Danio rerio: one gene and its partner. The main gene of each other region encodes a partner of the protein of the gene in region 2 in a complex. Links are inferred from orthologs where the notes say so. Each region holds a gene or a part of one and is shown on either strand. Other genes may lie near its edges.

The links.
Region 1: casc3 (region 2) and rbm8a share a complex: the UniProt entries of both Homo sapiens proteins name them as parts of the mRNA splicing-dependent exon junction complex. The link is inferred for Danio rerio from reciprocal best matches to the Homo sapiens genes CASC3 and RBM8A.

What each region holds. Positions count from the first base shown.
Region 1 is NC_133191.1:50,390,057-50,394,088, forward strand, and holds the start of rbm8a (RNA-binding protein 8A), read left to right. Parts: upstream 1-1,204; 5' UTR 1,205-1,225; coding exon 1,226-1,292; intron 1,293-1,742; coding exon 1,743-1,802; intron 1,803-2,027; coding exon 2,028-2,105; intron 2,106-4,032.
Region 2 is NC_133178.1:22,199,150-22,203,349, reverse strand, and holds the start of casc3 (protein CASC3), read left to right. Parts: upstream 1-1,341; 5' UTR 1,342-1,355; coding exon 1,356-1,541; intron 1,542-2,289; coding exon 2,290-2,314; intron 2,315-3,124; coding exon 3,125-3,180; intron 3,181-4,200. UniProt on the Homo sapiens protein: Required for pre-mRNA splicing as component of the spliceosome. Core component of the splicing-dependent multiprotein exon junction complex (EJC) deposited at splice junctions on mRNAs.

The DNA of each region.
Region 1 (4,032 bases), on a different chromosome or scaffold from region 2:
TAGCACATTTCATATACAGTCACTATTCAAAGTGATTTACATAAACAGAAATAAAAGAGACAAGCATAAGAAAAATAAAAACAAAAATAAAAATGATTTTAAAAAAGGTTATAAAAGAATGAAAAAGAAGAGAACAACAATAGTACGATCTGTCGGACGGAGCACAGTGCTCATTCAGTAGGGGCACAGCTAAACAGATGTGTTTTCAGTCTTGATTTAAGTGTGCCTAATGGTGGAGCACATCTGATCATTTCTGGAAGCTGATTCCGGTATGGAAATAGGACCAGCAGCAATCGCAAAGGCCTACATAGGATTGTGCGAACTGCTGGATGCATAGTAGGAGGTGAGCTTTCCTCCCTCCATGGACATCTACACCAGGCGATGCATGAAGAAAGCAAAGAGAATCATCAGCGACTCCAGCCACCCAAGCCATGGACTTTTCTCTCTGCTACCCTCAGGCAGACGGTTCCGCAGCATCCAGTCACGCACTAGCCGGCTTAAGGAAAGTTTCTTCAGGCTGATGAACACTTAACACATCCCACAGAGGGGAAGTATGGGGAGTATGCTGTTGTATTTTGCACAGTTGTATTTGTACTGTCTGTATTTTGCACTTTCGTTGTATTTTGCACTATCTGTATTTTGTACTGTCTGGAGCCAGCACCTAAGCTTTTCACTCATCATAGCACACGTGGTGCTGATGATTTGACTATAAAAGTGATTTGATTTGATTTGATTTGATGTGATTTGATTTGATTCCAGAAGCGGGGGGCATAGTAGCTGAAAAAGCTGATTCACCCTGCTTTGTCTGAACTATTGAAATTTCTAGTTTATTTGAACCTTGAACATGTGTATATTTAATTATTTGATTTTTTTTTACTTTGTTTTACCAATTGAGTCTATGTAGTTATATAAACCTCTGTTATGCTCTGCATCTTTTTATGTACACCTCTACACTGCCAAACCCAAAAAGTTAATGTAACTCAAACTATTTGAGGAAACCGATTGCAACAAACTATTCTGTTTTACAGTCTAGAATTGTTCTGCATATATCGTTAACAATAAATGTATTTTTTTAAGTAAACAAAAAACAGTATTCTCCTTTTACACCTCCAAAACAGCAGACGGCGAGGTTTTCGACCAGCATTTGAATGTGACGCAGTGTCGTATAGAGTGTTCTGCGCATGCTCACAGCCGCTCACTCGCTTCTCACTCACAAGCAAGCATCATGGCGGACGTACTGGATCTTCATGAAGCGGGAGGCGAAGACTTTCCTATGGACGAGGATGGCGATGGTACAGTTTTTATGTACACTTACTTGTTGCATAGATCTTTATTTATGTGATTATATGTTTTATCAGAATATTACTAGTGGTGAATGTGTGCAATACTCGTGTTTTCTTCTGACGGCCTTGTCTTCTTAGCGCGCATGCTAATAGTTAGCTGATTCAAACCAGTCGCGCGTTGTAGTGATTCAGCTTTGTTTTTGTTTTCTGGCCTTAGAATAATGTATTTGACGGCCAATCTTCGTTTTAAGACTACTAATAATACAGATTTAGATTCAAAACTTATGGAAAATTAGTACTATGTTGTAGTCGCGTTTAAAGAATGTTCTCTTCACTTTTTATTCAGTCATTTATCATTTCTGTAAAAGTTTTCTTTTTTAAAATGTAACGTTACATACAGTGTGTTTGTTAACAGGTTAGCATGACCCTTATGAATGATTGTTTTTCTTTGTCTTTCAGAGAGCATTCATAAGTTAAAAGAGAAAGCCAAGAAGAGGAAAGGTCGTGGATTTGGATCTGGTAAGTTTTGTGTGTGTGTGTGTGTGTGTGTGTGTGTGTGTGTGTGTGTGTGTGTGTGTGTGTGTGTGTGTGTGTGTGTGTGTGTGTGTGTGTGTGTGTGTGTGTGTGTGTGTGTGTGTGTGCGTGCGTGTGTGCGTGCGTGTGTGTGTGTGTGTGTGCGTGCGCGCGCGTTTAAATGATCGTCTTAATGCATCATGTGCTTATGTTTGCTGCTTTATTTCTCAGAGGAAGGAGCCAGATCTAGAGTCAGAGAGGACTATGACACAGTAGAACAGGATGGAGATGAGCCTGGACCACAGAGATGTAAGTGTAACTCTAATTTCATTTCAGAGGTTGCATATTTTATTATTATTATTATTAAATTGAGAATATACAATCAGAGTAAATTATAAAGAGAATCGAGAAGAAAAAAATACAAAAAAAAAAGCCTTTGACTAGTTTCAAGTAATACTGCACTAAGCAAAATATTTTTAAAAAGGTATTGGTTTTGAAAATTTACATTTATATAAATAAAATTTTCATAATAAGATAAAAAGATTAAGATTTTTTTTTCCATGTAAAGTTTCTTTTTTTTATAATTAGCCAAACCAAACATTTTCCCATAGTAAGGAATCTTACTAAGAGAGTATTCACTGGATATGTACAATGAATAATTCTAGATGAAACTTCCTTTATCTTATTTTTCAAGTAGCTATTTAGAATGAGTCATATTTTTTCAAGTCAATGTCAGAAACAAAGGAATTCCAATAAAAAGTAACATTTTGAACTCATGGGCTGCATCCTCTGAAGGATGTATTCAAAGGGTGCTGCGTCTTACTAAAAAGTGATTTTATAGACCAGTGGTCACCAAACTTGTTTCTGGAGGGCCGGTGTCCTGTTGATTTTAGCTCCAACCCTAATCAAACACCTGAACAAGCTAATCAAGGTCTTACTTGGTATACTTGAATCATCCAGGCAGATGTGTTGAGGCAAGTTGGAGCTAAACCCTGCAGGGACACCGGCCCTCCAGGACTGAGATTGGTGACCCCTGTTATAGACAGTTTACATTTTTAAGTCTACATGTTTGGATTTAAGGAATTAGACTCCCAGCTTTTGTAAACCTTGCTTTGCCTTCAGATTGCTTAAAATATGTTTTTAAATCAATAAAAAAAAAGTCATTTCAAATTTTATTATAAATTCTAGGTGATGAGATCTGTCCTTTGTAGGCTAGATCATCTCAGTTCAGAATGCTCTGTTTGGCCTGTGAGGACTCACCTTTGAAGTCTGCATCCAAATGACACACAGCATATGTATAATCTACTTGGGCTTGTTATTAGTTAAAATGATGTCAAAATAAATACTTTATTGTCTTGCCTCATGCTTTATATTCAGGGTTCCCACTCTTCTTGAATTTCAGACATACAAATTCAAGGACTGGAAAATTCTTCAAAACTAACACTAATCCTTGGAAGTGCTTGAATTAAATTAGTCTATGGGGTCATTTCAGCAGTTGTGCTGCTGTCAAATATAGAATGAAAAAGCAATGAGAATTTGCTAAATATTTAAGAGATAAGCATTTCAGAATAGGGATACTCTTATTAATCGTTAACCGAAAGGGTGTGTTTTTAACTGATAAACAATATTGCATGTATTTAAAAAGTTTGGCTGCATAAGGAGTCAATCACAGCAAACACGCTTTTTGTGTTAAGAGCGGCATCTTTTGAATGGTTTTCTAATGGGCCTTGAGCGTTTTGCGGAGCCTTGCACGCCTCACATTTTAGCTGTTGTGTGCTGTGTACTCGCTGTTGAAAAAGGTCAACTCTGAGCAGAAAAGGCATGTTATGTCAGTTTCGTGTTTTTTTTTTTTTTTCCCAATCAAATAAAAGCAGAGTTTCAGTTGTCGAGTTCCGATGCATATTTTCTGTGGAGCGATCTATTTTAGGTAGCCTGCTATTTTTATTTAACGGAAGAAAAAACGTGATTGGACAAACAACATCTGCCGGTTCTTAAAAAGGATTCAGTCAGTGTTTTCATTTTGTATTCTAAACTTGTCATTTAAGTGAAAGATATCTAGGGCAGGAATATTTTTTGATTCTTTTTATTTAGTTTATTCTGTTTTTCCTAGCCGTTGGAAATGCTGCAGGTGCTTGAAGATGTGCTGATGTTCTGTATGCTGTTGTTCACATGTTAAAATAAATTAGTATTTTAAAATGCTATATTTAATGTGTCGGACACAAAATAGACACATCAT
Region 2 (4,200 bases):
TCGTCAGCGTTGCTGGAGAAAGCGAGGTGAGCGATAAGAACCACTCCTCACTGACAAAGCTCCACAATTCGTCCCATATATGAGCCTGTTAGTCCTATTTTGACCTATGCCATCATAAATAGTCAAAATAACCCATCGAAAAAAGCTTTAAGACCAAGCAGAATCCTCTGTTGGCTGTCGCTTCCAATAGTATTTGGATGCAGCCTTTATGATGCAAGCGATGTGAAGGACCAAAAAGTGGACCATATTAAAACTGATTTGAATACCAATTTGGCGATTGTTTTTATCCATGAATTTTCAAATGTACATTTTTTACAAGAGAGGCTTGAAAAAACTAAAAATTATATTTTATTTAGTTTATTAGGGGAAGATGTTAATATTCAATTTGTATTGAACAATTTTCTAATTTTGGAGAAATGTTATATTCATAAATACAAAAGCCTTAAAACAAAAGTTATACTGTAAATTTTTAAAGTTGGTAAAATCAAAACTAGGAAGAAGACTGTTTAGTTTATAATTTTTTTATTAAAAGAATTATTATTAATGTATTTGGTTTGCGTTTCTATTTTATGTTTACATTTTATTTGTTTGTATTATTTATTGCTTATTGATTTGATTATTATTTGTGTTCTGTTCTGTATTTGTAGATAAAAGTTGTTAATGGAATTTTGCCTTATTGTATTTGTGTTGGCAGCACAGTATTGCAGTGGGTAGCACAATCACCTAACAGCAAGAAGGTCGCTGGATCGAGCCTCAGCTGGGTCAGTTGGCATTTCTGTGGAGTTTGCATGTTTTTCCTATGTTTGCATGGGTTTCCTCTGGGTGCTCCGGTTTCCCCATAGTCCAAAGATACATTATAGGTAAATTGAATAAGCTAAATTGTCCGTATAGTGTATGAGTGTGTGAATGAGAGTGTATGGGTGTTTCCCAGTGATGGGTTGCAACTGGAAGGGCATCCGCTGCGTAAAACATATGCTAGATAAGTTGGCAGGTCATTCCGCTGTGGCAACCCCAGATTAATAAAGGGACTAAGCTGAAAAGTAAATGAATGAATGAATGTATTTGTGTAAAAAAGTACCATAACTGTTAACATGTAACGTTACTTACCTCAGAAAAGCAGAATAAATAAATATATATTGAACAATGAATGGGAAAAGGTGATGTGTATCATGTGACTTATTGAGAACTGCAGCTTTTAAATCCATAGTCGGATACAGAGCGACGAATGATTTCAGTGAAGTACCCAGTCGCTCGCGCGCCCTCCTCTGACGCGGCATAGAATTGGAGGATATGACGAACTCACGAGCCCCCACAATTCCCCGCGCAGATCCGCTTTCCCTTCCTTGAGAGTTAAGATGGCGGACCGGCGGCGACGGAGACGGCGCGCCTCTCAGGACAGCGAAGAGGAGGACGAGTCCGCCTCGGGTTCCGAGAGCGGGAGATCCTTCTCGGCTAGCCGGAAGACCCGCGGAAGAGAACCGGAGCCGGTGGAATCGCCAGCGGAGCGCGTCGCAGCCAAAAGCGACGATGAGTCGGAGTGTGTGAGTGTGTGACTATAAATCTGCTTTTATAATCAGGGGCGATCCGAGTCTGTGCGATGTGTTCTGTTCACACGGATTCAACTCGGAGTTCGTGTCGTTTAAGAACGGGTTAAGACGTAAAGCGAACGGAGACGGTTCATGTGATGCGATGTTTTTATATCTAGCTCTTGAGGAAAATGTTAGCAGGCGTTTATTCCTATCGGATATAACGTTGCAGTTCCTCATGGATCTGTGGTTCTCCTCGACAGTAAATATGAGGTTGACCTCATTTGACCTCAGATGTTTTGTTGACCATCTTCTAACGTGGTGATTCTTCATCCTGATCATTGAGGCCCCCTGTCCTGCAGTTTTTACATGTCTCCTTTTATTCTACACTCTTTATTTGGTTTATTTAGCTCAGTAGTATTTTATAGCACATAGAAGAGACTATTGTGTATGAAATGTGTGTTTTAGAAATAAAACTAGTGAAATGAATGTCTAGTGTCATTTGTAAGACCTCTAGGAAGAGAAGAGAGACATATTGATCACTAAACAATAGTACTTGTATGAAAGTGGGTTAATTTGTAAGTGTTGTGGCAGAAAACGGCGGTTTAGCTGAAGTATGATGTGCAAGATGTTTCAGGGTAGGTTTTGATAAGCAAGTGGATGATGTGGGTTAGATCAATAATTCATAGGCATCATTTTTTCTTAAGAGTCCTTGCTTGTCAGAATATCTGATTCTGTCATTCTGATCTCTTTTACTGTTTAGGTAAGTGAAGATGGCGTTGGTGAAGGTGAGTTTATTTTAAATTCTTTTTCTCACTGTTTTTTTTTGTGAGCTTGTCTAAAATGATGTCAATTGTATCAGCCTTTTTAAAAGAACCCCCACATATACTATAGTCTAATGATTAATGAAATGCAACAGTTTTAGTGTGCATGTGAATGTTTAAAAAAAAAAAGAGATCTTGTTTATCATAGTGCCTTAAGATTTGTCACTGGTTCAAGTGCACACACATCACTGTAATTTATATAAGAGGACAGAATGGACCTCATTACAGTTAAGGAGAAAACAACATATTTTAGTTTTAATTTTAAAGCTTTAGTTGGTAAATTACCACAGGAGAAATGTTCTAATACTTACAGTACCAGATCAGCAGATATACTCTTACTTAAGATGCCATTTTTTACACAGAGTTAGGTCGATCTGCATTCTCCAAGTATGCCCCATATGTATGGAATGAGCTTCAAGATATACTATGTATTAAAATCCGTACTATCTATCGCTGTATTTAAAAATCATTTTGAAGACTGTCATTTTAGAACATGTTTAACGATTGATTATTGTGTGTGTGTTCATGTGTTGTGATATGTATTTAATATTATTTTTTGTTAGAACTTTTTCTTATGCTGCCTGTCTTGACCAAGATTTCCTGGTAGAAGAGATATTGTATCTCAATGGGACATTCCTGGTTAAACAATTAAATAAATAAATGTGATTTCATTCACTTGCTAACAGGCTAAGTTGTTATGAATTACTAGTTTCATGTTGTTTGAACCCAAAATTGTGCACAGATTTGCTAAAATGGCTGATTTTTGATCTTCAGCAGTGTTATCTGACTATGACAGCGCTGATCTGGAGGAGAATGGATCGCACACGGAGGTAAGTCTCTATGGCAACTCCATTTTGTGGTCTTGTTGCGAAATCAATCAGTTCTTTACAAGACAATGGTGTGATGAATCTGTATACGTCCAGACTGGGCTGTCAGACTGCTTGCTGGTGTGTAGAGAGAACAAAATGTCTCGCTTTGTGGCCGATCTGTTTTGCTCCGTCATTGGGAAAGTGCTGTAGTTTCTTTGTGGAAAATCTAAATGTGAGCATTTGATTGTGATTTAACCATTTCAGTTTGAAATTGATAATTCTGATAAACAGTATTAGAAAAGATGCACACTGAGAGAGATGTTTGGTAAGAGAGTTTAATGGGGTTTTTGTTGAAATCGTGTCAGGAGTATTTTTGCTCATCTCTTGTGGCGTCATGAGTACTGCCAATGCCGAGCCCCATGCTGTTAGTGCATCTGTAGTCCTCATCTAATTTTAGTAGACATGGCATGACACACAATCCACACTTTTTTGCTGCTTTTACCCTATGCAAGTAGCGTTTTGATGATTGCAGGTCTCATTTTTAGGTAATTTAGACATATTAGCGAGTGCTATGGTTCATTGGTTGTTGTTTCACACCACTGAATAAGGCTGTAGTTCTCTGCTTATCTGCTTCAGTCTTGGCTGCTGATGTTCCACTTTGTTTGGTGTCCTAGCAACCCTTTCTATACCATCTTTACCATTCGGACTGACGTTAAGCAGACTTTAATTTACTGCAGACAAGCATAGTCTGCTCTGAGTTTCGAAATGCAATGTCTAAACAAGATTTTTAAACCTGGAATAGTTTTTGTTTTTAAGCTGATTGCACAGAAATTTGTGTTGCATGAGGACTAAGGCTACACATTGCTGGAAAAATAGACAATGTTGTTGTTGAGTGTTATAATTAGGAATGCTCCGATAAGGATTTTTGCAGCTGATACTGAGTACAATTTCCTTGTCATGGGGATTGGCTGAAAGAGTACAAATTCTGATCCTTCAAGCTTTATAATGCCTAAAGCAACATTTACTCTCCAAGTATAATAC